Linked DNA regions of Pelodiscus sinensis. The protein of the gene in region 1 interacts with the protein of each later gene in a pairwise test. Links are inferred from orthologs where the notes say so. Each region holds a gene or a part of one and is shown in the gene's direction. Other genes may lie near its edges. The genes, in order: TRIM69, FKBP1B, ASNS and IYD.

Region 1 (7,683 bases):
AGCATTCCGCTCTTCAGACTCCTAAGAAAGTCAGATGGGGTGAGTATTTCACTGTATCTATTTTGTTCACATCCTCTGTCAGGAATTGCACATGGGATTTGGATTCTCTTGCTCCTGAGATCCTGCAGCCAAACTGTCCTGTTCATTGTATGGTTTAGGTGGGTTGGGCTTTAGGGAGCCCTTCAGGGTCCAGGGCAGCCAAGTCATGCTTCTTCACGGCAACGGGAAGTGGCAGTAACCTTCTCTGCTCCCCAAGCTGCAGGGCTGGGAGCTAGGCTGAAGGAGCACACTGGAGCGGGCTGGGGCCAGGTCACTCTGCTTCCTGCCACTGGCTTGAGTGCTGGGGGAGCGGGTGACCCCTGCTGCTGGTGCTAGCCCCTCTCTTCTCCCCCCCCCCACCATCTGGCTATCACCCCAAGCTCTCTCGCCTGAGTAAGGGGTGCAGTGGGTGGGGGCAGGACCTGCATGGGAAAAGGTGGGGCCTGGGTGGAGGGGGTGGCAGTCCCAGTGACCACACACCCCTAGGGATAGTCCAGTCCTACACTTGTCAGAGAAAGCAGGTAGTCTGTTTAGTCACAAATCTGGTGTATCCTAGGGTTGTTGGAGATCGTGCAATTGAACAGCCGTGTAACTGCATGAAATCTTAGGGGTTACACAACTATTGATGGTTGCTGGGGGTGGGGCTGGCAGCCAGTGTGCTTGTCATCTGGCGGCTGCTCCTTCTGTATCAGAAAACAGCACAAGGTGGCAGGTGAGACTGCTGAGCCAGCAGTTATGGAGAGCCTGCTTGAAAGCTGGCTCCCTGGGCGAATGGCTCCAGCCTGCTTACCTCACCCTCAGTACTGCTACCTCTCAATCAGAGGCAACTGCGCGGAGGGGAGGGGCAGGCAGGAGAGTCCAGTGGTTGTGTGGCGCTTTATTGAAACCAGCTCCCTGAGGGCACTGGCTCCTGCCTCCCCCGTCCCCCGGGTACAGGGAAGGGGTGAATGTAGTTGACAGTGCTTATCGGTTAATCGTATAGTCAACTACACATTGACATCCCTAGTGTCCCCCTCCCCCGTCGTTTTAAAATGTAATGTAATAGGGTGCGTTCCCCAAGTCTCGTCTCTGGGCACCTTTGGCCACCGGGCTCCAGTGGAACAGTCTCTAACTGCTAAAGAGAATGTGTACATTTAATACAATATATTGGAACATCAAGTAGCAGTGGAGGAAATGAGAGTAACTTGTAGAATTATTGGAGGTGCTGCTGCCAGGTCTGTAGAGGTACAGTAGTGCCGCTGTAGGGTTTCCCATGTAGGCGCTGTCCTGCTAACAAAACTAAACGACCCACGGTGAGCAGCATTAGCTATGTGAGCAACAGAGCCTCTCCTGTCTGTGATGGGTCGAATCACAAAAGTCCCCTTGAGTCTGCCGCCCAATATGCTGATCATACCACTGAGCCTGCCTACCTGCCCTCTATGGGACCCCAAGCCCCTGTATGGCTTTACCAGAAGCTTTGGTCTCCCCAAGCCAAGGCACAGAGTTGGGGTAACAGTCCCTGTGGAGAGCAGTATAGTCACTGAACCAGCTCACCTATAGCACTTTGGCAGCATCCAGGAGCACAGCACTCAGATGGTACTTAAACCCCCAAATAAATCTGCTTACTCTGTAGAAGCTTTACACAAGGAGCCTTATCAGTGAATGAGATGCATATCTCTGGCTCCCCCCTCCTCTGACAAGTTTACACTGGGCTTGATGATAAACACTTTTTTTACCAAGTATAAAAAGTAGGAATTAAGTGGTTGCAAGTGAAAACAGACAGATCAAAATATGTCACTAAGCTAAAATAAGCAGAACATGCCAGCTAACCCTAATACACAAAGAGGTCATTGCAGATCATAATTTTCACCCTCTTTATCTCAGATGCAATTCTTCACAAGCCAGAGTTGGTCTTTTGCTGGCTTGGGTCTAACAGCCACTTCTGTATCCTCCTGGGTAGGAAGGCAGTTTCAAAGGCCAGCTGAAGACCATTGATTGCTACCTTTTCCTTACTTTCCTGGTGTGGGAATCCTTTCTTTCTTTATTTCTCCGTCTGGCTGCTGGAGTGATAAGACCTCTCCCAGCGCTGCATTAGAATAGTTATGATTGGTAGGAGTGCTATTTGTGCAGCACAGCCTTGTCTTAGAAGTGGACTCTTAACATCCTTTGTCCTCTCTTGCAGACCCTGATAATTAACCTGCATCTTAGACGTATATGGTAAGTTTTGCATATTTAATTTGTTGCTCTCCAACTGATTTTGGCACTGGACTGATACGTGAGCTGAAGTTCAGGGATAGAAAGAAAACTTGCGCCACACTGAGGCAGAAAGGTAGAGAGGAGGAACAGGCAGCTCTATCTGTAGCTTAAGTGGTAGTTTAGAATTGTGGGTGGCCTATTATTCCATTTCTTAGCACTTGTAACAATATCATGCCCTTATGGAGACTTTTCATAAAGCTTATGACTTCACTTGACCCTTGGGAAGAAGGGTTCATTGTACAGTCACCAGACTGCCTGGTGTTTTTTCTTGGTGGATGTGGAGAGGTGGATTTGCCATTTGGCAGTCTTTATGGTCTAGCTGTGCCTCCTGAGAGGCTGGCTAATAGTGTATTAGGGTTAGAGGGACAGAAGTCACTGTAAGGCATCCTTTGTGTGTCTGCAGGCAGTCTCTTGCCTGGCAGTGCTGAAGCAACTTAGTGTTAGTAAATGGCTACAAATGGCTTTATGTGCAGCACCAGCAAATGCAGTGCACCCAGTGAGCAGGTAAGGGGTGAAGCTTCCGTTGTGGTGCTTGAACTATTTCAAAAGCTTTGGCATAGAATAGAATAACCCTTTGCAGGTGCAGCTGCCCTTGGGATCTAAAGCCTAGAGCTGCTGGGATTTGCACTGGTTTGCGGCTGGGATCTTGGAGCCAGGTTCTCCCTTAGCTTATGTTACAATAAAGAATAGGCATTTTTTAAATTAATAATCTTCCCTGCCCCTCCTCCTTTTCAGGTCTGAGGAACTCTGCCTTGCAATATGAAAAGCGCTTACACCCGATCTGTTTTCCTGCGTGCTCTTCACACCCCACTCTCACTTTGTACTGGAGCTGAATGTTTTAGCTTTATGATGATTTGTCTGGGAGTGAGATGTGGAGTTAAAAACTTTAGTGTGAAATGTTAGATGTGGGTCTGAAGCTCAGACTCATGAGCTGGCCTTGCACCCACATTCTCAGTGCTTTCTGCTGGGGGGAGGGGGGAAGGGGAGGGAACCTTTGTGTTATCTGATGGACATGCTATAGAATCATAGTATTTACACATATAAACCAATCTTGTGTTGGGCAGTCTGGCAGCTGTGCTGCAGCCACTTTAAACTGGCAGTTATAAAGGAAATTGTAAATGTGGCTCAGCCTTAAGCAAGATCCATGGGTCTTGTAATCCGCCCATGGTGTGCTCATGATATTAATCAAGAATTTGAATTGCAAAATTGGAAGATTTTTGTCTTTCCTGTAGCGTCAGAATATAAGAGCCCTAACAAGGTCCCTGGAGGCAGCAACAGTCCTAGCCAGTTATGGAGTATTGAGGTCTACCAGGGTCTGGGTGCAGCATGTTGCCAGAGGCATTTGGGGGGGCAATAATGACACTTTCAAGAACTCTTGGCTACAGCATTCCTTTTTACAAATGCCAATCAATAAAACTATTGCCAGTTGCATACACTGATTTATTGCGTTAAGTCTAAATTTTGTGGACAACCTAGTCCTAGATGGATCTGTTCTGCTAATTGAAGAGTGTAACGCTTTGTATGGTTCTTAATTGTATATAATGATACTTTAATGATACTTAAATATATTTTAAAACAATCAATCCTGTGGAAGTTGTGGTTTCTGAAAATGGAGAGGGCATTTCTTGCCTCACATTGAGTACAGCAGGGGGTGTGGAGTATCTATTAATGGCCTTGCTGTAAGCGGGACTGCTCAAATCTGTTTCCCCTTGCTGGTAAAGGTAAAAGTAGGCAGTTTTGTTCCTAATCCATATACTCAGTGAGTTCTGAGACTTCCCTTCAAGTCCTGTGTAGCTCTGCTCAAAGTACAAATCCTTTGCTTTTCCCTCTGAACCAACTGTGTTTGAAGGCAAATGCTCTGTTTGACCGATGAACCACACTGAATGAAGTGATAGACAAGAATGGTCTCTGAAGTCAGTGTGTGTGAAGTGGAATTCCTGGGGGGTGAATGGAAATGCCATCTGAAGGTTGGGCTTAAAAAAAAAAAACATTGACTTTATGCCCTGAGGAGGGGGTACCATTGTCCCTGGATTATCTGACCCTGAAGGCTGGACCTCAGACCCAAGCTGTGCAAAACAGGGTGATCTGGGTTAAGGTTCATAATAGCCTCAGCTGGGAGGGACTGCAACTGAAGCCTTGTGGGGGGTGGGGGGACACAGCAAGGTAGGGTGGATCTCCAGTTTTCCTACCATACATGTAGGTTCTTTTATTTGTTCTGTAGTGCTCATACCTTAAGACTAAATGTGCTTGCTTAGAATGTGCTGTGGTAACTTCACTGGACATGTAACTACTTGATCACCTGAGGAGAGCGCAAGCACCAGCACCAACTTTTTTGAAATAGTCTGTCTTGCTGAGGAAGGAACTGTGCAGCCTGGAAAACCCCTTCTTGGGAGGGGAAGAATTGCTTGTAGACTTTTCTGGCACTTTGAGCCTTGCTGGGTGAAGAACACAACTCCTTTAGCATTTAATTAAAAAAGAATCTGAAATGACAAGCTTCCATGCATAAGCTTACATTAAGGTCTGTACTGATTTGGTCTTTCAAAATAGCAAAATATTTAAACAGCTGGGAAAAATGAAACTAGATGGGTGAAGTTCAGTTTCTCTAAGTTTCATTCAAGTTTCACAAAACTGCCTCTTGCTTGAAGAGATCCTGCTCCTTTGCAAGTTACCTGCCAACTTAGGTGTTCTCACAAGTGTACTTGTGCTGTAGAAAGGCAGGATGATCCAAGGTTCCTTTCACCTGAAATTGACAGAGCAGTTGGCAGCAAAAACTTGACTGGAATCCACTTCTGAATTGTTCTCTGGAGTTCAGGTATGTCAAGAAACAAGCTGAAAGGAATGGTGCACAAACAGAAGTTCTAGCTCCACCAGAACTCTTGGCTTGAAGGGGAAATCACTGGGTGAACTGTACCTGTTATGATTATGGAAGTGTCTTAAAGAGCAAGTGTCCAATATAGAACTACTTGGAGGCCAGGTTGGAGCCCAGGATTCATAGGCAACTTCTTATCTTTCTTCCCCCCCCCCCCCCCCCCCCCCAAGGTTCTGTGCTGAAATACAGGGTTTGCTCAGAGGTTCTCTAATTACACAGCTTTAACCGCAGGCTGTGTAATACCTCCTTTTCTAAAAACACAGGAATCAAGACAAGCTGGCATATTCTAGTTGCCTTGGAATTTATCTGTAGTTTAAAACACAAGGGTATCAAATTATTCATCCTTGCTATTTTAGGCAGTTGGAAAAGTAGAACAGAATGAGAGTAATAACTTGCTTTACTAGACAGTTTCCAATCCCTTTCCTGCATTGTTACTCATGAGTGGAAGGTGGCACTGTGTGGGTAGCAAAAACGAGGGAGCTACTAGGTCTTTACTAAAACTCTATGCTTTGGAAGGTGAAACAAAAAATCCACTGCATTGTTATTAATTATGTACTGGAAGTTCACCTTTAACCTTTATTATGCAAGTAGTAAGTATCATTACATTATTACCACTGCCTGACTCTATTGCTACAACCTACCTATTCTCCCTAGGTTCCTGTGACCTCATGGACTTGCACCAAGCAGCTAATGTTTGCACAGCACGCTTGGGGTATGTTTGTACTGCAGTGTTATTTCAGAATAGTGGATGTTCTAAAATAAAGCGCATCTACACAGCAAGCTGTTACTTGGACATAATGTCAAGCTGGAGGAGTTTTTACTCCAACACTTGTAACCCTCATCTCATGAGGAGTAAGGGATGTTGAAGGGAGAGTGTTCTTTGACTTCTTGTTGTGTAGAGCATGCTGAAATCCAAATGAAGCTGTTTCCACTTCAGCTATGGGATTGATGTAGCTGAAGTTGCGTAGCTTAATTTGACTTTTGCCCTGCTGTGTAGACATGCCCTAAGATTGTATCTACCCATTTGCTTTCTCCACTGACTAGCAGAGCTCCCAGGAGGAGTCCCAGATTCAGCAAAATTCTCCTTCTTTGACCTTTCCTCCGACCCTCCTGTCCTTGAGGGCTGCTGCCCCATAGGGCTTGACTCCCCTCCAGCACTGCAAAGGGACCCTTTCGCACAAGGTCGCAGTGGGTGGTCAGCTTTGGTCTGGCCTGCAGGTGTGTGCCCTCGGCTACATTTGAGTGCCATTGTGACCTGGTGTATGGGGGCAGTGGTCCAGAGCTGTAACCTGCGTGGTAGCTAGGCCGGGTCACAATGTCCAGGGTGGAGAGCTGAGCCTGCCAACTCCTTGGGCTAGGAGTTGCTGCTGTGGGGTGAGTATGGGGCTAGCTTCCTTGTCAGTTTCCCTCTGCCAGGGAGATAGGACCCATCCCAGGCTAACCACATGAAGTGTTGGGCAGTGTGGGCTAGTGCTGAGAGTTGTTGCCTCTGGGCTACAGAAACCTAAGCAATTGGAACGCTTTCATCCAGGACAGCTCTGCTGGGCAAGGGGCCATCCTGGGAAAACCTGGCTGGGGGAACCCTCCTCTTGCTGGTCCTGTTCTCTAGAACCTTTCCCTGCGGGGAGAGAGCTAAGTAACTGTCATTCTACTGCCCCCCCCCCCCCCCCCCCCCAACTAACTGACCTCCTCTGAGAAACCTCCCCTGTACTCCAGGCCCCTCTCTGCACACCACCGGTCTGCTTTGGAATCACACCCGGACAGCACCTGCCTCTGGCTGCCACCCTCTTGCAGCATCTGGGGAACAACCTGCCCCGTGTTGCACTTACCCACATGTAAAACCCTCCCTGTGCCGTTTCCTGGGGCGGCGCTCGCTACGGCCAGAGCTGGTGCCGTGACAGCTGCCTTGTTTCACGTCTCCCAAGTCTCTGTCAGACACGGGCCTGGTCCCAACCTCGCCGAGAGCCAAAGCCACTTAGGGTAACGCTCCCTAGGTTCGATGGGCCTAGTCCCTAGGGTTTGCTGAAGCCAATCACCTTGGGGTGGATCTCCCCCGAGACAGGGGGCCTGGACTCATGGAGATCTATCCACCACCTTGCTGAGGGGGTGGGTGGGGACAGCGTTGGTGCTATATCTCGGGGGCAGGGTTTCTCCCACGGAAGAGCAGGATGTGGGGGCAGGCCGAGTACCCTGAGGTGCCTTGAAGATGTGTGAGATAGAAGCACCCTGGGGTGAGTCTTCAGTACAGCTGCTGCCTTCAGTCTGCCAGTGCCTTCCTCCAGCCAGTGCGCCCTGTGCCCCGCTGCTGTTCCCTGCCGCTTGGTGTGTGGTGTGCCACTGTGGGTGAGGCAGCCTGTGCCTGCCTTCCCCTTTGCTCTGGGACTACCAAGCCACGGTACAGGCTGCTGGCAGACGGAGGGTTTCCTATCTGGCTGCACAGCCTGGGGCTTGCATCTAGCTGGGGGCAGGCCCTGGGCAAGAGAGGGGCTATCCAACTCCCTCTCCACAGTGCTGGAGGAAGAGGAAGCTCCTCCAGAGGA
Region 2 (8,130 bases), on another chromosome or scaffold:
AACCAGGGATTGCCCTATCCAATCACTCTCCCAACTAAAGCTATGTCTAGACTACTCTGCTGCATACAGGGAACGCATCTGCTCTTTTTTTTTTTTTTTTTTTTTTGGAAGAGCAGATGTGCTTTTTTGGAGGCCCTGTCTTCCTCCTTCCACGAGGAAGAAGAGCTTTTCCAAAAGAGGAGTGTAGATGGGTCATATTTCGAAAAAGCCTCTTCTGAAAAACTGTGTGTACCTTTTTCTGATAGATCATTGTAGTCTAGACATAGCCTAACAGACCCCCATTCATTTCCTCCCTCACCATATATCATTCCCCAGCCCTCCCTCTTGGAAACACCAAGCAAATTGTCCAATGAGTACTCCATACTTTCCTTTGACAATAAAACTTCTCCACCCATCACAGGAAGGAACATTTGCTGAGGGTGATCTGTATTCAGACGTGGAATAGTCTCTTAAGGCATATGGTGGGATTCTACTGCTTGGAACAGTTAAAATTGGACTGGGCAGAGGCCTACTAGGAAACATATTTTGGGAAGAATCCTGTTTTGGCAAAGAAAGAGGTTTGAATGATCTAATGGATCTTCTCCTTCTCTGACTCATCATTCATTGGCCAAATTATTCCTGATTTTAGTGATTGACTCTCACTTAGGTTGTTATTAATAAAAAAAAATTCTAACTTTTTGTTGGCTTTGAGTAAGAATGGAAATTTACTTACTGTGAAGTCATTGAACACACCACATTATCAAATAATTAGAGGCATTTTGCATTGCTAAATGTTCTTTGTTACAGTTTTCACGCTCAGTTAGATCACTCTCATTTGAAAATCCATTGTGACTTGTAAAAGAGAGAAGAGGTTAATGACATTTCTAGCAGAATAATTATACCGTTTTGATGACAAACAGTTACTGAACTTTCTAAACATCACTTAGACAACCTTGTCTTCACTGTAACCATTTACATTTGGAAAATTATTTACTGTTAGCAGGGTGCATGCACAAATTTAAATTTTACTGCTTTTGGAGGGCACATTTTGTGGCCCCTTGGCAATCCCAGGGCTGGAGGAGCTATCAGGTCCCACTTTGGCTATGGGGCCATATGATCTTGCTCTCCCCACCATGGCCCTGGGGCCAGAAAAGTTCTGTGCTCCCACTGATTATTAGAGGATCCACACTCCTGCTTGTCCCCCTTCTGCACACCTAATTGTTGGCAAGGCGTGTCAGACACTGGGACATGACCAAGTAGGTGTTGAAAACAGTTTGGCTGATAGTGCAGATAGGACAAAACCCATTATAGAAATTGAGGAAGATGGCAAGTTCCATCAGGAATGAAGAAGATGTTTTGTCTCTGTCTGTTCTAGCAGTTAAACCATATTCAATACTGGCTGAGAACTGTCTGAGGAATCCAGGATCCATTTTCAACCAGTCATTTTCCCAGTGTAGTGAATAGAAGAGAAGGGTGTTTAAAATATGCTTTGGTTTCTGTAGCAAGTGATGACCAAACCTGAGATTCTGTGTACAGTTTTAGGGAAATCTTCCACCACTGTATGGGTATTTTCTCTCTGGTGTTAGCAATAGTGGGAGTAATCATGTAGCCTGGATGCCTGTATTTTTGCCATTATTCCATTTAGACTTGCTCCATGCATGGCAAATGATATTAAAAATGGCCAATCTATTCTCATACTTCTGCTGTCATCGATAGAGCCATTGATAGAGCCATCATCCCACTGATACAGCAATAGTAAGAGATTTTTCAGATAAATCTCAGTATAGATACATTCTGACTATATTTTGCTGCATAGGACTGTGACTTTGGGAAATGTGGATATCATTCATTTTCCCTTTTAACTTTCAGGCTCCGTTCCACAGAGGGATCATACTATTAATACTGAAATACTGCTGTAAGTTAGTGCACATAATTTTTTTTAGTAGAGCACACTGAAAAAGCATCATCACACTGCATCATGTACTTGGGCTGGTGCGGCGCAGTGCACAATGGATATGCGAAACTGTCGTGGGTTGGAGTGGCCACCCACTGATCCGAAGGGAGAAAACGCCCCTCCCTGAGCCATGGTGGGCTCACTTGGATGACTCACCTTGGAGGAAGCCGAGGTTGGGGCCAGGGATATAAAAGGCCTTCCCGCAAGGCCAGTTGGGGACCTGCCAGCGAGGGAGTCAGAAGCCTTCTCTCTCCAGCCAGCAAGGGAGCCAGAGGCCTGCTCGTCCCAGACAGCTGGGGAGCCAGAAGCCTGCTTAGCTCAACCCAACCCAGCAAGGAACCGGACCTGGGGAAAGCATATGGCTGGCCAGGGCCACCGGGCGCCCTCCTGGAGGATTACCTGGAGGGCCTGCGTATCTGGCTGGAGGACTCCAACCCGTGCTGTCCTGAAGACCTGCCCCAACTAAAGGTACCATATGGGGGAGGGGACAAACAGAGCCGGCCCAGGGATAGCCAACCGTGGTCTGGCTGAAGGTCAGCAGGCTGCGGCGTGGACCCCCGCTGACCCTGACATAACAGGTCAGTGTGTTTTGGGCCGGGATCCCTGCTGACCCAGCAGCTGACTGCTTGACTGCTGTTAGGGCTCTGGGCTGGGACGCACTGGTGCAGGGAGAGCCCGCGTCCCCCTTACCACTGCTTGATTGGGTGGCAGTCTCCCCTCCTGCGGTTGGCAGCCCTAGGCAAGGTGCCTGAACCCCTCCTGAACAAGGAGGCAGACTACTTACCAGCACCTACTGGTTGTGAACCGGTGGGATTGCTTTGTGTGAAGCCCTTGCCCTGCCCAAGGGCTGGGCCTCTAGCCATTTAATTGTTGCCTGTTTAACTGTGCTAGCCTCCCCTGTGTTTGGGCTGGCTTCCTAACTGGTTAATGACTGTAGACCCGCCCTGCACTAGGGCCAGAGACTGCTTGGCTATAGCAGTGTCGCCCTGGACCAGGACCGGGCTACAGACTACTAGATTGCTGCAGCCCTGCCTTGCCCTGCCCTTGGGTGGGCCCATAAACTGCAAGAGCAGTAGCTCCGCTTAGAACTGGGGCTCAGACTGGAACTGTGGGTAGTGGGTTGGAGTAGCCACCCACTGACCCTGAGGGGGACACCCCTCATTATCTGGGGCGTACCCCACCGGGCTACAGAAACCATGAATACTGAATCCTCAAATAGCGAGGGCTCCTTGTAATACCTATAGGCAACATCAGAACCCCTATGGAAATATTATTGACCCTTGGGGACTGTTTTGACAGATATATACCGATTAAGATAAACTACAAAGACAGATGTCAAATGTCAGACCTGTACAGACTGGACGCAGAGGGACACACTTCCTCCTATTAAAAAACAAAAAAGATCAGACCATTTCCCACAACCAAAGAGAATTGTCAGCAAAATTATTCCCTAAGGCTACGTCTGCACAGCAGACTTCTTGCGCAAGAGCACGTCCACACCTCAAAGCTCATCACAAAAGTGATGGATGCTCCATGGACACTCTTGTGCAAGAAAGCTCTGATGGCCACTCAGAGAATGGCCATCAGAGCACCTGTGCTTTTTCCCATAGGGGTTTCTGGCGCCAGTTATTTTGCGCAATAGCCATAGCACAAAAGGGAGTTATGCCTCATAGAAGGAGGTTTACCTACACCGGCAAAAGTCCTCTGTTCTGCCATTTTACTGCTGATTTACTTGAGCAAAAATGCATTTGAGGTGTGGACGCTCCGCAGGTTTTTGTGCAAAATCAGCCATTTTTGCACAAAAACCTCGCAGTGTAGACATAGCCTAAGAGTTGATGGAAATAGATTCATACAGATTCTCGTAGGAGGAAAGACGTTTGAGACACAAATATCTGAAATATGTGTGTCTTACACTGTATTACAACTTTTAATCCAACATGATGGGAACAATTAACCATTAAAAGCAGCTTTTCTTTAATTAATTAATTAATAGATATTGTAGTGCATATTTCGCCCCCCCCCCCCCCCCCAACAAGGAAGTATAAACACTTCTACGGCATGCAGCCTAGAGATGTGGGAAGCATCATTCCAATCTAGCCTTTGTGCTGTAAGGATTCCAGGCCTTGCTCTCCCTGTCGCTCCCCCTGTCTCCAGAAGCCCCTGGGCACATGTGGCACATCTCACAAGCATAACTGATGGAGTTGGGAGCAGCTCAAACTCCACCGCCCGTGAGAGGACACAGAAGTGAATTAGAAGCAGTGGGCAGTGGGGACACAATGGTGACACAGACGCTCATTAGCAGGAAGAGAGCTGGCGCTTGTTGTACCACACACCAAAACTGGGTCTGGTACCACTGGACTGGGGACTACTGAGCTGGTATCAGCTGCCTTGAAGGAAGCAATGCATCCTTCTGGACAGCCCGCATAGCTTACTCCCCAGCACATAGGGATGCAATTTCTGCAAAGCTATTGAAGGAGCATATGCGGTGTGAGGAAGCAGCAAGCCCTTGCTGGGAGGGAATAGCACTGAAGTGCCAAATCCTTAAATGTTTCCAGCAGCAGCAAATCCCAGCGAACTACAGCCTGAGAGGCCTGCCCCTCCTCCCCCAACTCCCAGCCCTGGGAGGGACCGGCCTTTCCTGTGCAGCAGAGAAGGGGGATTGGGTGACAGCGTAGGGAGCTCCCCCCCCGTCCCAGCTTTTGCATTGGCTGGCAGCGTGTGACGGGCAGCTGCGGTGCTCCTTGTCAGTCAGCTCGGCAGGGGAATGCATGCAGCAGAGGGTCCGTGGCGTGGGGTAGTGCCCAGCTGAGCACAGAGGGTGGCCCAAGCAGCCGCGAGAATTGCTCGGTCTCTGCCGCAGACCAGCCGTGCAATAATGGGAGTGGAAATTGAGACCATCTCCCCTGGAGACGGTAGGGACCTGCTCGCTCTCGTGAGGGGTGCTGACCGGGGTGCTCGCCGCGGCACGCGGCGCGAGCCGGAGACAATGCAGACCCAGGGCGTCGGGGGGCGGGGAGGGGAGTCAAGGGGAGCGCGGGTGCCGCCGCCTGAGAGAAATGTGAGAGGAGGGAGTCCGGTTTTTCTGGGCACCAGAAGAGGAAGGAGTCTGGGGTCCTGCAGCCCCAGGGGCTCTGGACTCCAAAGATAATCAGAGACCAGATGAAGGGGAACCTAGGGTCCAGCAGCTGAAGAAGAAATCAAAGACTGCAGGGAAAGAAGGGTGTGTGTGGGGGTGACATTCCTAGGATGGGGGGCGGGAAGCCTGAGGGTCTGGTGGGGAAAGTCTCCTGGATCAGAAGCACACGAGGAAAGGGGACCAGGTTCTCTGGGATTCATAGGCTGCGGTGTCTGCTGCTCCTTTGGTGGCAGCAGCAGAGGTAGCGAATGGTTTGGGACATTTAAATGGCATTTGCTGACAGCTGCATAAATCCAAGTGCAGGGAAGTAATTTGGTAATGAGAGCAAATGATAGTCCAGAGCACACCCCCTTAAAATGTGAGCCTTAGCACTCAGCAGCTAAAGCAAGTTCACTTCCGAAGCGCATTCTGGACCAGACATTATTGGAGCAGTAGCAGCAAGACAGTTAATTTCTGTAGAGAGAGGGTGGAAATCAACATAATAAATGATTGCTGATTAGCGTGTGTGGCTGTGGCAAAAGCTGGCATTTAACACGCACGGTAACAAAGTTTCACAGATGTATTGCCAAATCGTTTCATGAACAGTAGGCCATTTATGTCAAGAATCATTTCACACGGAAGCAGCATTTTGACCGGATCAGCTATTTTCTCCCCCATTTTAAATGTTGTTATTGCACCTGTAACACTTGTAATGGCTCCAGATTAGTGAGTGTATTAATCTTTGATTTTTATGGGCTTGGTTTTTTCAAATCAAAATAATAGCTACTCTGCTTTGGTGTTAGAGCATCTTCCCCTAACTCTTGAAGACAGATGTCATTACCAGGGATCATAGTTTTTGTGATAAAACTCCCAGAAGTTCCTGATTTAAAAAAAAACCCATTACAATCCTTGTGATTTTTTTTTCTCTGTGATTAAAATAAAATGCTGAGCTTGAGTTTCCCCTGGGGTTCCACTAGACATGTTTTTATTTTTTTTCCACAAAATGTAAAAACTATAGATTCTCTGTAGAAACACAAATGTTGCATTTTCTCACATTGTTCTGTGGCAAACAGATTTCTGGGATCTTTGATCATTACTAATATAGAGCCATACGTATCTATGTTATGGCCCAAATTCATCCTTGGCTTAACTCTGTTGGACCAACATCATTTCCCACCCCTTGCCTATGTCTCTTAACTGTCTTCTCCCTCTACTGTTGTTTAGCTGTGTGGGTCAGATTCTGCTCTCACTTGTAGTGCTGTAAATTCAGAGTAACTCCACTGTTATTCTATCGTAAGTGTTAGTGAGGGCAGAATTTAGCCTTCTCATTTTCTTAATTATCTCTAGAATGTATTGGGATATGGTGCATAAGAAAGATGCTCTTTAAAATAAAGTTATAAATGTGATTTGGCCTGGTTGCAAAGCTTAATCCAATCCAATAGATTTAAATAGTGTAATTAAAACCAAAACCAGTAAGTTCTATTGCCATCAAATCCACTCAGAAGTTGATTTGTTATAGTGACTAGTTGAAGGTCTTAACATCATTGGGCCTAATTCAGCCTTGGTATAAGATAATGTGTCTCCATGGATTTGGTGGTATTACACCAATTTATGCCAGGGTGGAATATGAGCCACTGATGACTTGTATCATACTCTTTTTTATCTCTTTCCACATTGAATGATATGGATTGTATTTGCATCATATTTGGCGGTAGGGATGTGAAAGTAGTGCTTACTGAGCTCAGGGCCCCACAGTGCTAGGCTTTCTACAGACACACAGAGTATTTTTACACTGCAGCGTCAGCATAAGCCCAGGAGTAGTTGGATTTGAATTCACAGACCCTGGCTTTGAAAGCTCAGGGTTTGAGCATCCACACTCATCCGTGACTTTTAACTTAAAAATTTTTGACCCTGGGCCCCACACCAGGGCTCCAGTACCACCAAGACAACCTAAACCTCCAAGTGGAACCAATCATATCCCAGGCTACCTAGCACACTCCTCAAATGTGTCCACTCTCTGGCTGTCTGTGGCACATCATGGGAAAACTTGACTGTCCATCCGACTTATCACAGGAAGTTGTTGCAGCCCACCAACGCATTCTGCTGATCCATCTGTTTGGTCTACATGCTCCCAACAATCGGAACCAGGAACATGGAGTCATCATTGGAAGAACTTCTCTTGCTTGCTTTTGCTCCTGTTTCAGGAACTGGGGAGAGCTTTCATGAGATGCTGGGGGACATTTTGGTGGCATTTTCTGATCCACTGAAGTCACCTGACAGAGCTAATGATGGAAGAGGAGGATGATATAGACATGGAAAACTCAAACTAGCTGATGCACCTCATGACTTTTAGTATTTCTGCTCGTGCCCTCTGCATAGACCAGTAATTCTGGAGCAGGACCACAAGCACAGACTGATAGGATCACATTGTCATGCAACTTTGAATCATAGAACTAGAAGGGACCTTGCGAAGTCCTCGAATCCAGTCCCTTGTCCTCATGGCAGGACCAAGCACTGTCTAGATTAGAGACCATCCTTGATAGATGTTTATCTAACGTGCTCTTAAATATCTCCAGAGATGGAGATTCCACTACCTCCTTAAGCAGCTTATTCCAGTGTTTAACCACCCTGACAGTTAGGAAGCTTTTCCTAATGTTCAACCTAAACCTCACTTGCTGCAATTTAAGCCCATTGCTTCATGTCCTATGATCAGTGATTCAGGAGAATAATTTTTCTCCCTCCTCCTTACAACATCCTTGTAGATTCTTGAAAGCTGCTATCATGTTTCCTCTCAGTCTTCTCTTTTCCAGACTGAAGAAACCCATTTATTTCAGTCTTCCATTATACATCATGTTTTCTAGACCTTTAATAATTTTTGTTGCACTTCTCTGGACCCTCTCCAGTTTCTCCACATCTTTCCAGAAATGTGGTACCCAAAACTGGACACAATACTCCAGTTAAGGCCTAATCAGCACAGGCTGAGTCTACACAGCAGTGTTATTTTGGAATAACATCATAGTCCGCATCCACACAGCAAGCGATTATTTAGACATAATGTCGAGCTGGAGGACTTCTTACTCCG
Region 3 (7,807 bases), on another chromosome or scaffold:
GGCCTAATCAACAAGGAGTAGAGCAGAAGAATTCTCATGACTTACTTACAATACACTCCTGCTAATGCATCTTAGAATGATGTTTGCGTTTTTTGCCACAGTGTTATGCTGCTGGCTCATATTTACCTATGACCACTCAATCCCTTCTGCAGTGCTCTTTCCTGGGCAATCATTTCCCACTATGTATGTTTGCAACTGATTGTTCCTTCCTAAGTGGACTATTTTGCATTTCTCCTTATTGAATTTCATCCTCTTTATCTTGGACCATTTCTCCAGCTTATTCAGAATCAGATCATTACCTAAAATATTAATGAGAATATTGAATAGAGGCCATTCCAAAAGTGATCCCAGAAGAACCCCACTCACACCCTTCCAATGATACCAACTGATAACTACCGAGAACAGTTATCCAACCACTTATGCACCCACCTTATAGATGGAGCTTATAGTAGCTCCATCTAGGTTGTATTTCCCTAGTTTGTTAATAACAATATCATGTGAGGCTATATCAAATGCTTTACTAAGGACTAGATATACCACATCTACCACTTTTCCTCTAGCCACAAGACTTGTTACCTTGTCAAAGAAAGCTATTAGGTTGGTTTGATGTGATTTGTTTTTGACAAATTCATGATGACTTACTTACCACCTTATCTTTTAGATGTTTGAAAACTAATTCCTTGATTATTTGCTCCATTACCTTTCTAGGTACAGAGGTTAAGATGATTGATCTATAATTCCATGGTTAGCCTTATTTCCCTTTTTATAGATGGGCACTATATTTGCCCTTTTCTAGTCTTCTGGAATCTGTCCTGTGTTCCATGACTTTTCAAATAGCTAAATGCTCAGATATCTCCTGAATCATCAACTTGAGTATTCTAAGATACATTTCAATAGGCCCTAGTGACTTGAAGACATCTAACTTTTCTAAGTTATTTTTAACTTGTTCTTTCCCTATTTTAGCTTCTGAACCTACCCCATTTTCATTGTCATTAACGTTGTTAGGTGTCCAATCACCACCAATATTCTTGGTGAAAACTGAAACAAAGTCATGAAGCACCTCTGTCATTTCCATATTTTCTGTTATTGTTTTTCCCTCTTCATCGAGGGCTTACCCTGCCTTTGGTCTTCCTCTAACTTCTAATGCCTCTGTAGAATATTTTCTTATTACCCTTTATGTTTCTAGCTAGTGAGAGCTCATTTTGTGCTTTGACCATTCTAATTTTGCCCCTACATATGTGGTATTGTTTATATTAATCATTTGTTATTTGACCTAGTTTTCACTTTCTGTAAAATTCGTTTTTGATTTTCAGATCATTCAAGAGCTCTTGGTTAAGTCAGATGGTCTCTTCCCAGACTTCCTATCTCTTCTATGCAGTGGACTAGTTTGCTCTTGTACCCTTAACAATGTATCTGAAAAACTGCCAACTGTCTTCAATTGTTTTTGCTCTTAGCCTTGCTTCCCATGAAATCTTACCTACCAATTCCCTAAGTTTTAATTGTCTACCTTCTTGAAATCCATTATCTTTATTTTACTGTTCTCTCTCCTACCAGTCCTTAAAACTCTATCATTTCATGATCACTTTCACCCAAGCTGCCTTCCACTTTCAAATTCTCAACCAGTTCCTCCCTATTTGTTCAAAATGAAATCTAGAACAGCCTCTCCCTTAGTAGTTTTCTCCATGTTCTGAAATAAAAAAAATGTCTCCAATACATAGAGCCCCGCAAATCCATGGATATCTGCTTTATATCTGCAGCTCACTTCTGCAGATATGTATGAGGATACACATTTTGTTTCTAGACCTCTTCATATTTGCCAGTATCTGCTTTATATCCTGCATCTCCACCTCTGCAGATTTCAGTGCCTATATCCACGGCTCATTATTGCAAATACAGATTTTGTATCCACACATTGGCTCTACCAATACATTCCAAGATCTTGTTGGATAATCTGTGCCCCCCATGTTATTTTCCCCAGGTATCTGGACAGTTGAAGTCCCCTATCACCATCATGTGCTTTGGATAATTTTGTTATTGGTTTATAAAAGGCCTCATCCACTTCTCCTTGTAAGTTGTCTGTAGTAGACCCCCTATCATGACATCATCCTTGTGTTTTTTAAACCCTATTAGCCTTTCCCTTGAGAAGTCTGTGTCTTATTTCCATCTCAGCCTCAATCCAAGTGTATACATATTTAATATATGGCAACACCTCATCTTTTTCTCTTGCCTGTCCTTCCTGAGCCAGCTGTACATACCAATATTCCAGACATGCGTATTATCCCACGTCTCTGAGATGCCAACGATGTCATAGTTAGGGATGTTAAAATGTAATTGGCTAACCATGTAACTGCTAAAAATGTCAGTGGTTACATGCTCCTGTCCACCACCCTGCTCCCAGGGAACTGACTGCTGCCCCATACTGCTACCTCTGATACAGAGGCAGCAGCACAGGGCAGCAGTCAGCTCCCCAGCAGCTGGCCGGGGTGCCGCTTGTAATAATTTGGCTAAGGCAGCATTTCCCAAACTATGGGCCGCGGCCCGCTACTGGGCCACGGGAAAAAAAATACTGGGCCTCAGCGTGCCTAGTGGCTGCCTGGAGGGGAGCAGAGCGGAGCAGGCTGGGAGGAGGTGGCGGGGCAGGAACCGGCCGCTGGGAAGCAGGGTTGGGGACAGCCGGGCTGTCCTGCGGAGATCCAGGCATGCGGCTGGCAGAAGCAGGATTGGGGGTAGCGGGGCTGTCCTGCGGAGATCGGGGAGGGCAGGTGGCAGAACCAGGGCTGGGCGGGGGAGATAAGGAGGAGGAAGAAGGGAGAACCAGCTGCTGGAAGCAAGGCTGAATGGGGGCAACAGGGCTGGTCGAGGAGGGTCGTCGGGGGAGTGGGGCCGACCGGGGGAGATTGGTGGGGAGCAGGGGGAACCGGCCACCGGAAGCAGGGCTGGATGGGGGCAGAAGGGCTGAACTGGGGAGATCGGGAGGAGAAGCGGGGGGGGGGAGGAAGCGGGCTAACGCTGGCACTGGGGGCTTTCGGAGGACCAGAAACAACTTATTTGAATATTCATCATTTGCTTAATGAATATGCAAATATATGTTCCTGGTTCTCCAAAAGCTCGTGAATGGATTTACTGGTCCCCATGTCAAAAAGTTTGGGAACCCCTGGGCTAAGGGATAAGCTCATCCTGCTCAGTTAGGCTACGTCTAGACTGCAAGCCTCTTTCGAAAAGCAAGCCGCTTTTTTGAAAGAGAGGACCCAGGCAGTCTGGCCGCTCTCTTTTGAAAAAGCCCTGTTTGCATTCAAGAACGCCTTTCTTCGAGCACTTTCGAAAAAAGGTGTTCTTCCTCGTGAAATTAGGTTTTCCGCCGTCGAAAGAAAAGCCGCGTTTAATTTCGAAAGAACGCGGCTGTAGTCTAGACGCCGGAGAAGTTTTTTCAAAAAAAGGCTACTTTTTTCAAAAAACCCTCGAGTCTGGACACAGCCTTACTGAATTAAACAGTATGTGGGAAGGGGAGTGCCTCTTCAGTTCCTTGTGGGGAGATTAACAGTCCCCTCACTCTGCCCGCCTTACCTGCAAGGATAGGAAACTTAGGAAACACACATCATAGTTGCATATACTAGCATTATGAATTCTTCTTGCTTATTCCCCACACATTTCACATTGTACACAGACATTTAAGATTCTGATTTCCTCTCCCCCATTTGTCTTCTCTCCCCTTCTCCCTGGCTCTGGCTTGAACACGTAGCCTCCCTGCGCTCCTCTCACCCGGAAACACCATTAGCTAACTATGCCCTCAGTAGCTCCATCTAGCAGGGACATTTAAGCGATCATTAATTTTTGATGCTACCGTTTTAGTATTTGTATTTAATCTGGTAGCAGCAGCAGAGTGTCTCTTTCCCCCGCTCCTAGCGCCCTATATTAACAGAGACTATGTGGAGAGGCAGCTGGCCCTTTAGCTCCTTATGGGCTGATTTACAGCCCCTTCCTGCCTTGCACTGCCTCGGGGATGAAAGAACTGGCTGGGCAGGGCTGGCCTAATCATGAGGGGAACTGAGGTGGCTGCCTCAGTTGCCAGACTGGGGGGGAAGGAAGCGAAGCACTACTAGGACCCAGAAAATTGTGTCTGCTGCTGGTGCATATGTATTCTCTCTGCTCTAGAGGCACAGAGATGGTGAAGTGCCACAAGAGGAGCAGAACTGGAAGAAGGCAGATTTGAGAATTTTCAAAGTTCTGGCCCGGGCATGGGGGCGTCATTTGAGCTTCCCGCTTCAGGTGCCAAAATGTTGTGGCCCAGCCCGTGGCAGCAGGGTAGGAAAAGAAAGAGACAATACAGCAGATGTGCGGGGAGCTCGGGCAGCGAGAGGGGGCGGAGCCCGGAAGGGCTGCGGCGAAGGGGGGGGGGGCCCGCATGATGAAACCTCGCTCGGTGTTTCAGCAGCAGCAGCAGCCGGACGGGAGGAGGAGCCAATTCCACCGGCAGGCCAGTGCCCGCGTCTGTCTGCGGAGCGTCGGACCCTCTGGAGCAGCAGCCTCTCTGCCTGGGGCCGCAGCGAGCCTCGCCCGGCGCTGGAGGCGGAGCAGAGGTAACGGGCCGGGAGGGCGGCGGCAGTTTGCGGTGCCCGGGGAGGGCGGGCCCCGCGTGGCTGGGCAGGAAGCGCGACCCCCTCCCCCCAGCTCCTTCCCGGTTGGGCCGGGGCGAGCTCCCCCGCTGGGCGCGCGAGGCACGTGGACTTGCTGCTTCTGCCCGCGGGCCCCGAGTCTCCAGACTCCGTCCCGGCTGGCGGCACGTGGCGGCGCTGCTGAGAGCCCACAGGAGCCGCTAACGGCGGAGGGCTCCCTTTGGCTAGGTGATGACGTAGAGGCAGCCCCAGCCCTGCCCCCTCCCCTTAAAGTTCGCGGGCGGAGGTCCCGATCCTGGGAGCGGGTTTGTGCGGGGCGAGCCCGGTGCCCACATGGACCCTCAGGCGCTGCAGCCCCGGTGAGGGAGAGGCTTCCTGACTCAGCGCTGGGCAAAGCGGCACTAAGGTTGCATCAGAGAAAAGAGACTTGCAGAATTGCATCAGGCCGGAAGAATTGAAGAAGGCAGCGCGTGTTCAGATTCTTGGGGACAGGATCTGACTCACATGAAATTGTACTCAATGAAATGGGCTTCCCACACAAACATTTTACTCCAGGGTTAAGAAAATCATAGAATCATAGAACTGGAAGAGACCTCAGAAGGTCAAGTCCAGCCCCCTGCTCTAGGCAGGACCAATCCCAACTAAATCAAAATGGAAAAGGTTGTCATGCGGCGTTAACCAGACAGTGCCAAATCTGGAGCTGGTTCATAAGTACAGGAGAGACTCAGAATACAATAGTCCTTCACATATTTACAGTAAATAGTGACTACTAAGTATAAATGGCAGAAGGAAAAATAAGTTAGTAAAGAAATCTACGCCAGCTTTAAGCTTCCGATGAATAAGCACATAGCTTACTACTAAAGAATTAAGGGTTTAAAAAAATCGCGTCAATTAAACTGAAAGTAGTTTTGAAGTAATTACACCTATCTCTGGGCCTGCCAGCCAGTTTTTATGGCTTGACAAATCTATGTCCCTATTTTGTGTTTACAACAAAGTTTCCTACCTTGGTGCTTAGTGAAGGCCACACACAATAGAGTAAATACAAAATAGTGAAAAAGCTCAATTGCCTATGCAGTCAGTTTTGTCTATAGGGATGTAAAATACCATTTAATCAGTTAACCTGTTAAATCTTAGGTTTAACTTATTAAATGGGATCCTGCCCCCACCCCCTTGTTCCTGCCTCACCCCCCTCCCATGCTGCTGCCTCTGTTAGAGGCAAGGGGGTGGTGAGGGGAGGCTACTGCCAAGCAGCGCCTGTCTCTGGTGGCTTGGGTTATGGGAAGGGGCTGCTGCTGGAGCAGATGGGCTGCTCAGGCTGGCCAGGAAGCCTGGCTTAATCCTGGCTTGCGCTGGGTGCGGGATGGACTCCTGCTGCTACTCTGCACTTGCCTGCCCTCCCGGATCTTACTACATTTAAACTACAGAGTCGCTGCGAGTGTAGCTCCTGGACTGTGCAAGCTGGGAGTGAGTGCTTTTTCCCTTATCGACTAATCATGTAGTCGATAAAAATTCTGTCAACTATATGATTAGCAAATTACCCTCCTCTTAACATCTTTAGTACATATGCAACCTTATGTGATCTAGTCCCGTCCATTGGAGAACTTGATTAAGTTTAATATCTAATTTCTATTGCAGTGTCTTGTTAGAAATTGTGAGGGATGTATTTCTTTTAGGGTTACCTCCTTGCTATAGCACAGTGGTGCCCAAACTTTTCCTTTTTTGATTTGTGAGAAACCCTCATGCCCCCTCCCCCCCCCCCCCAAATAGCAGGAAGGCTTGTTGAGCAAAAAGGAAATTGAAAAAGGAATTGACTGGGGCCAAAAAACAAAAATAGCAGCAAAACTTAGGGGAGGAGGGTGTTGATGGGGAGAGGGCTGGGTTGCCTCGCGTCCCCCTGGAATTTCTTCATGCCCCCCAGTTTGGGATCCCATGCTATAGCAGAAGTGGGGAATCTAAGGCCCCGGGGCTTGTCTGGATCCATCTCCTGAGGCTTGGGGATCCCCCACCCCAGCATTCAGGAATCAGAGCTAGTGTTCTAGCCTTCTATCCCCTGCAACCCTCCGTGGGGTTGGGACCCACAAAATCTGCTAGCTTAGGCCTTCCTAGGCTCTGGTGTGAGAGAGCAATGTGGGGAGTGTGTTCTCCTCAATCAGGGACCATGTCAGTGAGGGGTGTTTTTTTGTGCAGCCCTCAACTGATTTTTCTGTGGGTTAGCAGCCCCAGACTGAAAAAAGGTTCCCCACCCCAGAGCTACAGGAAAACATTAACAAATTTTCTTTGTTCTTTTTTTCTTTTCTTTTTGGCTAGAACAGTAGCTTTTAACAGGACTAATGGAAATGATGTTTTATTCCCACTCCTGACTATATCCGTTCAATCTATGATACTGTGCTGTAAATATGAGACTGTCTGTGTTCTGTAAGCAAGAAATAACCAACATACTCACAACACACATCTACCATATCTAAAATTGAGCTGAAACCTGATTTGTTGTCCTGTGAAAGCTTTGCTAATGTCCTCTTTCCGGGTTGTTGGCTTTTAATCAACCTTCTGTCAATAGGGCCTAAACCAAGTTGCTTTCTTCATAAGTCAGTACTTAATTATCTGTAGTCAAGAAATTTAAATATGCTTCCTAGGATCAGCAGTAGCTAAAGCATGTTGTATGATGACATATCTTTCTGTTAACAGGTTCTTCATTTTAAGTAGTTGAGAGTCAGCTCACAACCAATTTCAAAATGTGTGGTATCTGGGCCCTTTTTGGAAGTGATGAATGCCTTTCTGTTCAGTGTCTAAGTGCCATGAAAATAGCCCACCGAGGTCCTGATGCATTTCGTTTTGAAAACGTCAATGGCTTCACCAACTGTTGTTTTGGTTTCCATCGTCTTGCAATTGTTGATCAGTTATATGGCATGCAGCCTATTCGGGTGAAGAAGTTTCCATATTTATGGCTGTGTTACAATGGAGAAATCTACAACTTCAAACAGGTAAAAAAAATAGACCGTAATCTGTGGTACCTCAGTGCCGGAGAAGATTTGGAACTTCTTTAAAACACTGTGGGCTAGAATATTAGAGCAAATGATGCAGCTTCAAAAACAAAGTGTCTGGGTGAAAATCTGGAGCTGATTCATAAGTGTAGGAGAGACACACACAATACATTAGTCCTTCAAATATTTATAGTAAATAGTGACTAAGTATAA
Region 4 (8,339 bases), on another chromosome or scaffold:
CCCCAACCTTCCTACATTCTGGTCCCCCCTTATGTGTCCTTTCTCCCCAGGGTGCCAGGTCCATCCATTGCGAAGCTGGTGGTGTCTGTCCCCAGGGACAATGAAATATATAGGCAGCAGGTTTAAAACAAACAAGCAAGTGTGACTTCACACAATGCACAATACACCTGTGGAGCTCCTTGTCATAGGGTATTGTGAAGGCCAAAAGTATAACTGGCTTAAAAAAAGAATTAAATAACTTCATGGAGGATAGGTCCAGTGGCTTTTATCCAAGATCATCAGGGATGCATACTCTGGTGTCCCTAAACCTGTGACTATTGTTCTCTGTAAGCAGTGTGCTTGTGCAGCCACTTGAGAGATTTAAATGCCACCCAGCTGATTAGCAGAGCACCCACAGCTAGGTTTTTGTTTCTATTGGTAGTGCACATTTGCATGTGCTTTGGTGCACATAAAAATATATTCTGCACATGGATGGAAAAAATCTGCAAATAGATGGAAAAGACTGGAGGGAACATTGCCTGTGACTGCCAGAAGCTGGGACTGGATGACAGGGGATGGACCGCTCAATAATTGCCCTGTTTTGTTCATTCCCTCTAAAGCACCTAGCACTGGCTATTGTTGGAAGAGAGGATACTGGGCAAAATGGGCTGTTGTTCTGCCCTCATATGGAAAGATGGAGACTTCACGATGCTATTGTGAAGCTTTCTTAAAGGAAGTGGAATCGTTAAGTAGAAAGATGAGGGACATGCTCATCTTATGAAGAAGGTAGAGGAGAGGGGATGTGTTGAAGAGTTGCTGACTGGGACACATTTGCATAATTTCAGAACCTTGGATGAGTGCTGAAGGACTGCTCTGCTTTCACTTGAGGCCTCTAAACAACTATTGCTTATTATGCATATTTAACACATGTTTGAATTCATCTGCTTTGAAATAAAAGGCTATATCTGGTTCACTAAGCTTTTGTTTTCTTTTCATAGCAGAAAAATGAGCACATTTAACTTAATAAGAAATGGAAAAGAAATTACTCTGGGCAAGTGCTTGCAATATGAAGGTCAGTAGATTTCCAACCAGGTACTTATGGTCTCCAAAGTATCTGAGCACTTCTTGGGTATTTCAAAATAGAAAATTATAATAAGTCTTTCATCCTTCCCACCCTGTGGGCGAAACAGCTTGATTAGTTTTTAGTTGTGTGTGGGGAATGTTGCTTTTCCAAAAATGATATTTTTTTTTAACATTTATGACTGGTTAACAAAAATCACCAGTAGAAATTCAGGGTTTAGAGCATAAATGGTGACCATACAATTCTGGCACTGTCTGTTATGATGATGATTGTTATTTTATAGGTAAACTTTAGATTGAAGTAAACCTGTATTACATGCTATTAAAGAGACTAGGAAAATACAATTATTTTTTAAATTGACTGTCATCCCCCACCGATCCCTGAGTGCATGTTGGTGTTTACTGTTTGAATGTTTATGGATGGAGTTAATGAAACTAAATCAGATTTTAATAAACCGGGGCATTGTGGGAGTTCTGTCAGATTGAAGTTAACTGTCTTGCTATGATTATGGATTCTGCCTAAATTAACACTGAAGGGCATTTAATGCAATATGCGCTGTATTTCTCTGGTTTGCAAGGGAATAATAAATAAACCATTTCCTCAGAGAATGTCAAAATTGTTTTATGAGAAAGAGATGATGAAAAAATTCTCAGTATCAAAAACGTAATTCTTAAAAACATTACCATTCAACAGGTTATACTCTGCCTCTTTTTTCTTTATCACTAAACCTTTAGCTTGACTGCTTTCTCTGGGCACAGTACGCCAGTGATGGTCTCACTAATGCTACATGCAGCAGAGGTAATGCTTCCCTTCTGCTTCTAATGTGTATTTCTCTGTGTATACATTCAACAGTCACACTGGGAGCTCATCTTCAATTGATTGTCCCCATGACCCCAAATTGTTTATAGAGTTACTGCTTTCCTGAATATAGTCTACCATATTTAGTCTTTTTTAATTAATGTTTAATCATTAGCCATCTTAAATAGACATGATCAATTTTCAAAATCACATTTCCATTTGACAAGCTAATTTTGGAGCTGTTCTTATTACCAATAGCCCGAAGATTAATGTAACTGAAAGAAATTAGCAAGAGAGAGCACGAATGTTTCTCTTCCCCCCCGCCCAGTTGGTTTTTTCAGCGTATTGTGTGTAGCCAGCATTGCTGTTTTTCAATGGTACATGCCTTTCCCCATGACTTGGAAGAGAGTGTTTACCATTAACAGCAAAGCAGAGCAAAAAAATCAAGTGACATTAGGCAGAAAGAAGAAGTAGAGTGGAAACTCGTGGGATAGAGGTATCAAAGAATGTTTGAGTGGTGTTCTCTGGCCCATTCAAAGATTCTTCTGTATATCAATGTAGGAGAAGACCAACACTGAGCTTTTTTTTTTTTTTTTAAGAATTAAAAATAAATAAAAGGTACCTTAAAATCCACTTTCTGATGAAGTACCCTTCAAATAGTAAGCTGACAGTGTTCCTTTAAGAATGGCAAACTACTTAAAACAATCTGGAAGTAAAGCTGGGAGAAATGGGGGGAGGGGGAATAATTGCACAGAAAAATGGATCAACCCAAAAATATTCATAAATGAGACATGAGTTTTCCAAATAGAATCAACCCCCAAAATCTTTTTGGGGCATTTAGGTTATATCTACATTACCAGGTTATTTTGAAGTAAATTATTTAAAAAAATAATTCCCAAAATAACTATTTCAAAATAAGCTTATTCCTCCGAAATAACAGGATTGGTAGTGTGGACACTCACCTTGTTATCTCAAAATAAGGGGAGTTACTTTGAAATAATTCCCCCAGTGTAGACATGTCCTTAGATGCCATTCAGGGAAGTGGTGGTGCTCTCTCACTAGGAAATTATTTCAAAATAACTTATTTCAAAATAATAACTCCCAACATAACTATTTTGAAATAGTATGTCCACTCTACAGGGAAGCCTCGAAATTAGTCTGAGATAGGCTCCCTTATTGTGGATGTGCTACCTCAACTTAGAGCCCCAGGAAGCACTGGGGAGTAGTTTGCTGCTATTTTGAAACGAGGCGCATCCACACTACTGCTATTTTGAAATAACTTATTTCAAAACAAGTGTTATTCCTCGTGGAAAGTAGGAAATAATGAGCTTGGTAGTGTGGATGCTCTGCTTCAAAATTAGGGGAGTTATTTGGAAATAACTCCCTAGCGTAGACCAGGGCTTTGAGGTTAGCCCAGTAGTTCGGAATCTTACATGGGATAAAGTATCTGGTGGCCCAACAGAGGCTAATCCTGGTGAACCGCATACAACCCGTGGCCCACTTATTGCCCACTTGTGAGCTTGATAAATCAGACTGGAAGTAAGGCATAATTTTTTAAGTGAGTGCAATTAACCTTGGGAACAATTTATTAAGAGTCATGGTAGTCTCCATCAATGATTACTTTTAAAACAAGATTGGCTGGTTTCCTGAAAGATCTACTCTAGTAATTACTTTGGGGAAAATATATGGTCTGTGTTATACAGTAGATTAGACTAGATTGGGGTGAAGAACCTTTTTTGGGTTGGGGGCATTGACCCACAGAAAAATCAGTTGGGGGCCAAACAAACACAAAAACCCCTCACTGAGCTGGCCTCTAGGTGAAAAGGAGAAAAAGAAACCTGCACAGATGTGGTCCCCAACTTAAAAGCAGGGGGAAAAAAATACACTCTTCTCATTCCCTTGAAGCTCTAACCCCAGAGAAGGGGTATGGTGCTGAGGCTCAAGGCTTATCAGGGCAAAAATAATGCTTCTGGGGGTCCCAGGCCAGTAGATTTTGTGGGTTCCTCTAAGCTCTGGGATGAAAAATGAGGGGTTCAATGTGAAGGAGAAGGAACAGGTTGGGGGTGAAGGTTCAAGGTCTGGGGAGGAGGGAGGGTGCAGGAGTGGGATGAGGATTTCGTACAGGAGGGAAAATGCAGGAACAAACTTGGGTGATGTGGGGTCTAGAAGGAAGGGAGGGTTCAGAAGTGAGGTGGAGGTGTGTAGGGTGTGGGCAGGGGATTGGCAGCCTATCTGGTACAGTTCCCGGAGGGCATGGGTATCGGCAGAAATGCCCTCTCTGCAGGCTTCATCCCCCCCACACTGCTCCCATTGACTGAGATTCCTGGCCAATGGGAATGACAGTGGTGGTATCTGGAGAGAGACCCACAATTATGGCCCCAAATCCCGCAGGCTGGATCAAGGCAAATTGCAGGCTGGGTCATAGGTTCCCCACCATTGGACTAAATGATGACAAGAATCTCTTCTGGCCACAGAATCTATGAATTGGGAGAAGTATGCTTCTAGCCCTAAGGATTGTAATAAAATTGAAGCTGAAACACTGAAAACTAAACTCTCAGAAAGGAGATAAAACCTACAGATTATTTTAATCTCAATTTTTTGGGGTGGAGGCTGTCTTATAACTTTTTGCATGCTTGGGGTTTGCAATACTGAAATAAAACAAACAGAAGACAAGACCATAACACAGGTGTATATGGCTGGTGGAAGAGAGGGAAGGCGGGGGGGATATAGCTGCCTCCCCAGCTATGTAGGAATTGCATTGATAAATAAAAGAAAAATTGTAATTGGACTGGAGCTCATGTACCTCACTTTATTGGAAGTGGACAAATTTAGTCATGGCATACAACTGCTCATTCAAGTGATAGTCAGCAGTTTAACTCCAATTTAACTCTATCCCCCATATTAAATAAACTGATAAAGAAATACCTAAATAAAGTTGGCTTTGCCGCTGCACAAAATCAAAAGAAAGGTCATAGAAAACAAAATAAAGAGCAATTGTGATAGCACCAGGATTCCCACCATTCCCTAACTATGACACAAGCACTGCAAAGACATTGCTAAGAGCCTGGTGAGAGAGAGTTGAGATCCAGTAGTTTGAAAACTGACCGACTATGTCAGATTTTAAAGAGGGTGCCAGCAAATGAAGTATACTACAGAGCTGCAGCCACAAGGAGCATTTGCTTCTGGGAAAACAACAGAATTAGAGAGTTGAACTTTCCTCTCTCTCACTACATGTTTTGTTCCACCCCTTTTTGCTTATCAACCTCCAACCAACCCCCAGTTTCTTTCTCTTTGTAAAAGAAACTATCAGGGAAAGGGAGAGTATACCCTTCTAAATTAAACTGCAGGCCATGGAATTCTTTTCTCCCCTAACACCAGTCTTTGTAGCAATTATATGTGTTCTAATTGGCATAATACTGAAAAGCAACAGGAAAAGCAGCAAAAAAGGGAAGAGTGAGACTAAAAGTAAGTCTGAATCTCGCCCATGGGTTGATGACGACCTAAGAGACAGCACTGACCTTCATGTAGATGAAGAAGGTAAGGAAAATAGAATCCCACTAAGCATTTTTGTGTCTAATTTTCATCTGTCAGTATGAATAAGGAAGAAATGATCCTCTAAACTGAGACAGAGTTAGTCCGCACACACAACTTTGCAGCTACAGTGCACTGCAGTTCTTTAAGTCAGATCATCCAAACATAGTTAATACTGGGCAATAGGATTATCTTAAATAATTAATTGTGGGTAAGATTGCTTGCTCCTGCAGGAAAAAAATTGTAAAGGAGGTGGGGGTCAAAGAAGAGAAAATGCCCATTAATTCCTCTGCTGGAGTTTTATTCCCATACCTTTTACTGGGGGGTAGGTCTTGATCCCCAATGAAACAAGCTAATGGGCCAGCCTGCAATTCTCTAGATCCCTTTGGGTCATCAGATTTTGTAGCTAGTGTCTGATGCAGCATGCACCCCCTATGACAGGTTCCCATGCAAAAGAAAGCTTTAGGGATGTAGTGTCTTCTGAACCTGCTTTACTTGGGGTCTGAGGAAAGAGCAGGCAGATGCACTATCTCTATGGAAGAGGGCGATCTGAATATAGATCTTGGGACATGTGAATAGATGATCTCTGTATATAGATCTTGGGACATGTGAATAGATATACTCCGGACTGTATATATACATACATTATAACATTATGAGCATTGTTGTCATAATTGAAGCCAAATTTTGTCAGATCTGTTGGCTCATTTCCACCTGTTGTTTATGAAAGCATAAATATATAACATTTTTTAAAATAAAAATCTTCTTTAATTGTATAAGTGGCTCAACTGTTTAGTCGTAGTGCACACACAGCTTACATTGATACCCTTATGTTAGGACTGTAGGACTGGTATCTGCTTGGAAGTACAGAGATGGTCAGATTTTTCCAGAAATAGGCAGGCAGAGAATTTGAACCAACAAAATGTGGTATTGATTTCACACTGGGAGCCATTAGTGAAGGTTCCAGTACCTGTGTGGACTCACTCTCTGGTCTATCCTGATGCAGAATTGGTACATAAGTGAATATGCATACAAAATGTTCACTTTCTCCTTTGTGCTTTTTGAATGTATGTTTCTTCTTAAATTAATGCTGCAGATTTTTGCTCTCTCTAATTTTAGAGCTCTTTTAAAAACTCTCATTTGATGTAACAACTGTTTCAGTCACTATGGGTTTAAAGCTTTAAGTTTAGGATTTTATCTCATAATGATACATGCTGTCTCAGAGCCCACGTCTCCAGCTCTTCAAACTTCAACCACTTTTCTGCTCCTTTGCCTGTTGCTAATGCATATTACCTGTCTATTTGACAAACTTTTTAAAGTTTAATTTACTAGTATGTATATCCAAAATCTCAATAATGGAACCTCATTAAGTTATAAGTCACTGTTTCCTAAATTATCTATAACTTTTTACAATAATCACTTCATCTACCATATCCTCCTTACACAAAGTAAAACCTAATCCTCTACAAAATTAATAAAGTCCTCTCCCTTTATCATTTTATGCTTGAATTTTCTAATTAAACTGTGGCAAATTAAAATCCCTGTGGCTAATTAAAGTGATATGTGAATTCCCGGTGTGGCACTTTGGAGTGCGCATGGCTCCATCAGTTTAAAATGTACATTTTCTAAACGAGAAAAAACATTTTAAATCCTTCAAGAGGGGATTTAGTGCCAAAGTGTCATATTTAAAATGTTTTATATTTTTTACACTTTTACATGCTTCTCTTTTCTTTTTTTTTAAAAATACCAGTAATTTAAAATGGGTCAACTTAAAATATTGTTCAAAATATTCAGGTTAATTAAAATCAACTTTCATACACAACACATATTTTTGTCTTGTTACAAAAAGGAAGATTTTTAGATAACTGTCCTCTGCTTACTCTAACACAATAAACATCCACCCCGGTATTGCAGGATTTTTTCACTTTTGAACAACAAGCAATCACTCCTCTATGTACAGTACAGTTTAAAGTCCAATGTCTCTGGAAAACACGCACCTGTTTTTATCTCCAGAGAAGTTAAAAGAACAAAGATGTAACATTCTCTGAGAAAATTCTGCTCTGCTTCACATGGAAACCTGCATGACTTAGGTACAACTGAGATAAGAATATGGCTTTCCCTGTAGTGATTTATTGAGCTAATAATGCCATAATTAAAGGTCAGATCATACTCCCAAGTCGGTAGTAAAACTTACATTGACTATAAACTTTATTTTATTTAAATAACTTCACTCACTGACTTAGGCTCATTTCTACCTGAAATATCTCAGGTCTGACCTGTAGTTACAGGAGAATTTGTTTTGTGGAAAGTCTTAGCTGAATGGGACCAAGTAGTTCTAAGATTATGTCAACACTAGAAATTGCCCCGGTATAACTGTCCTAATATAGCTACTGCAGGTTAACTTCCCTAGAGTGGCTGCAGTGGTATCTGCATAAAGGTGTCTTAGACCAGTATAGCTATATTTATGCTGGTGCCCTGCCTACACTACAAATGATTTGCCAGTATAGATATATTAGCTGGACATGTATGCAGCATAATAACACAACCTCCTCAAATGACACTAGCTAAACTGACAGTCTCTCGTCCATCGACATAGCTGCATCTATGCTAGGTATTGTGCTGCTTCGCTATACAGGCAGTCCCCGAATTACGCAGATCCGACTTATGTTGGATCTGCAGTTACGAACGGGGTTTTTCTTGCCCCGGAGGACGGGAGCGGTGGGAGGCCCAGATGCGCCGCGGTCCTGCAGCCCGCGTCCTCCAGGGCGAGAAAAGCTGCTCCGCGTCTCCCTGGTCTGCTGGGGGGGGGGGGTAAGCCCCCCCAGCAGACCAGAGAGAATCTGAACAAAGCCGCGGAGCACGCGGGCAGCGGGACAGCCCAGACGCGCAGCGGCTGTCCCGCTGCCGGCGTCCTCCGAGGCTTTGCTCTCTGTCTCCCTGGTCTGCTGGT

The links.
Region 2: the proteins of TRIM69 (region 1) and FKBP1B interact in binary tests that used the Homo sapiens proteins (3 or more experiments, as listed by UniProt). The two-hybrid records come from large-scale screens. The link is inferred for Pelodiscus sinensis from reciprocal best matches to the Homo sapiens genes TRIM69 and FKBP1B.
Region 3: the proteins of TRIM69 (region 1) and ASNS interact in binary tests that used the Homo sapiens proteins (3 or more experiments, as listed by UniProt). The two-hybrid records come from large-scale screens. The link is inferred for Pelodiscus sinensis from reciprocal best matches to the Homo sapiens genes TRIM69 and ASNS.
Region 4: the proteins of TRIM69 (region 1) and IYD interact in binary tests that used the Homo sapiens proteins (3 or more experiments, as listed by UniProt). The two-hybrid records come from large-scale screens. The link is inferred for Pelodiscus sinensis from reciprocal best matches to the Homo sapiens genes TRIM69 and IYD.

What each region holds. Positions count from the first base shown.
Region 1 is NC_134724.1:36,834,029-36,841,711, forward strand, and holds the start of TRIM69 (E3 ubiquitin-protein ligase TRIM69), read left to right. Parts: upstream 1-4,001; 5' UTR 4,002-6,517; intron 6,518-7,683. Other genes in the region: B2M (beta-2-microglobulin), read left to right, coding at 1-39, 2,201-2,214.
Region 2 is NC_134713.1:14,537,356-14,545,485, reverse strand, and holds the start of FKBP1B (peptidyl-prolyl cis-trans isomerase FKBP1B), read left to right. Parts: upstream 1-4,610; 5' UTR 4,611-4,808; coding exon 4,809-4,845; intron 4,846-8,130. UniProt on the Homo sapiens protein: Has the potential to contribute to the immunosuppressive and toxic effects of FK506 and rapamycin. PPIases accelerate the folding of proteins. It catalyzes the cis-trans isomerization of proline imidic peptide bonds in oligopeptides.
Region 3 is NC_134712.1:209,899,238-209,907,044, forward strand, and holds the start of ASNS (asparagine synthetase [glutamine-hydrolyzing]), read left to right. Parts: upstream 1-4,418; 5' UTR 4,419-4,577; intron 4,578-7,298; 5' UTR 7,299-7,345; coding exon 7,346-7,594; intron 7,595-7,807.
Region 4 is NC_134713.1:106,746,440-106,754,778, forward strand, and holds the start of IYD (iodotyrosine deiodinase 1), read left to right. Parts: upstream 1-5,126; 5' UTR 5,127-5,208; coding exon 5,209-5,395; intron 5,396-8,339. UniProt on the Homo sapiens protein: Catalyzes the dehalogenation of halotyrosines such as 3-bromo-L-tyrosine, 3-chloro-L-tyrosine, 3-iodo-L-tyrosine and 3,5-diiodo-L-tyrosine.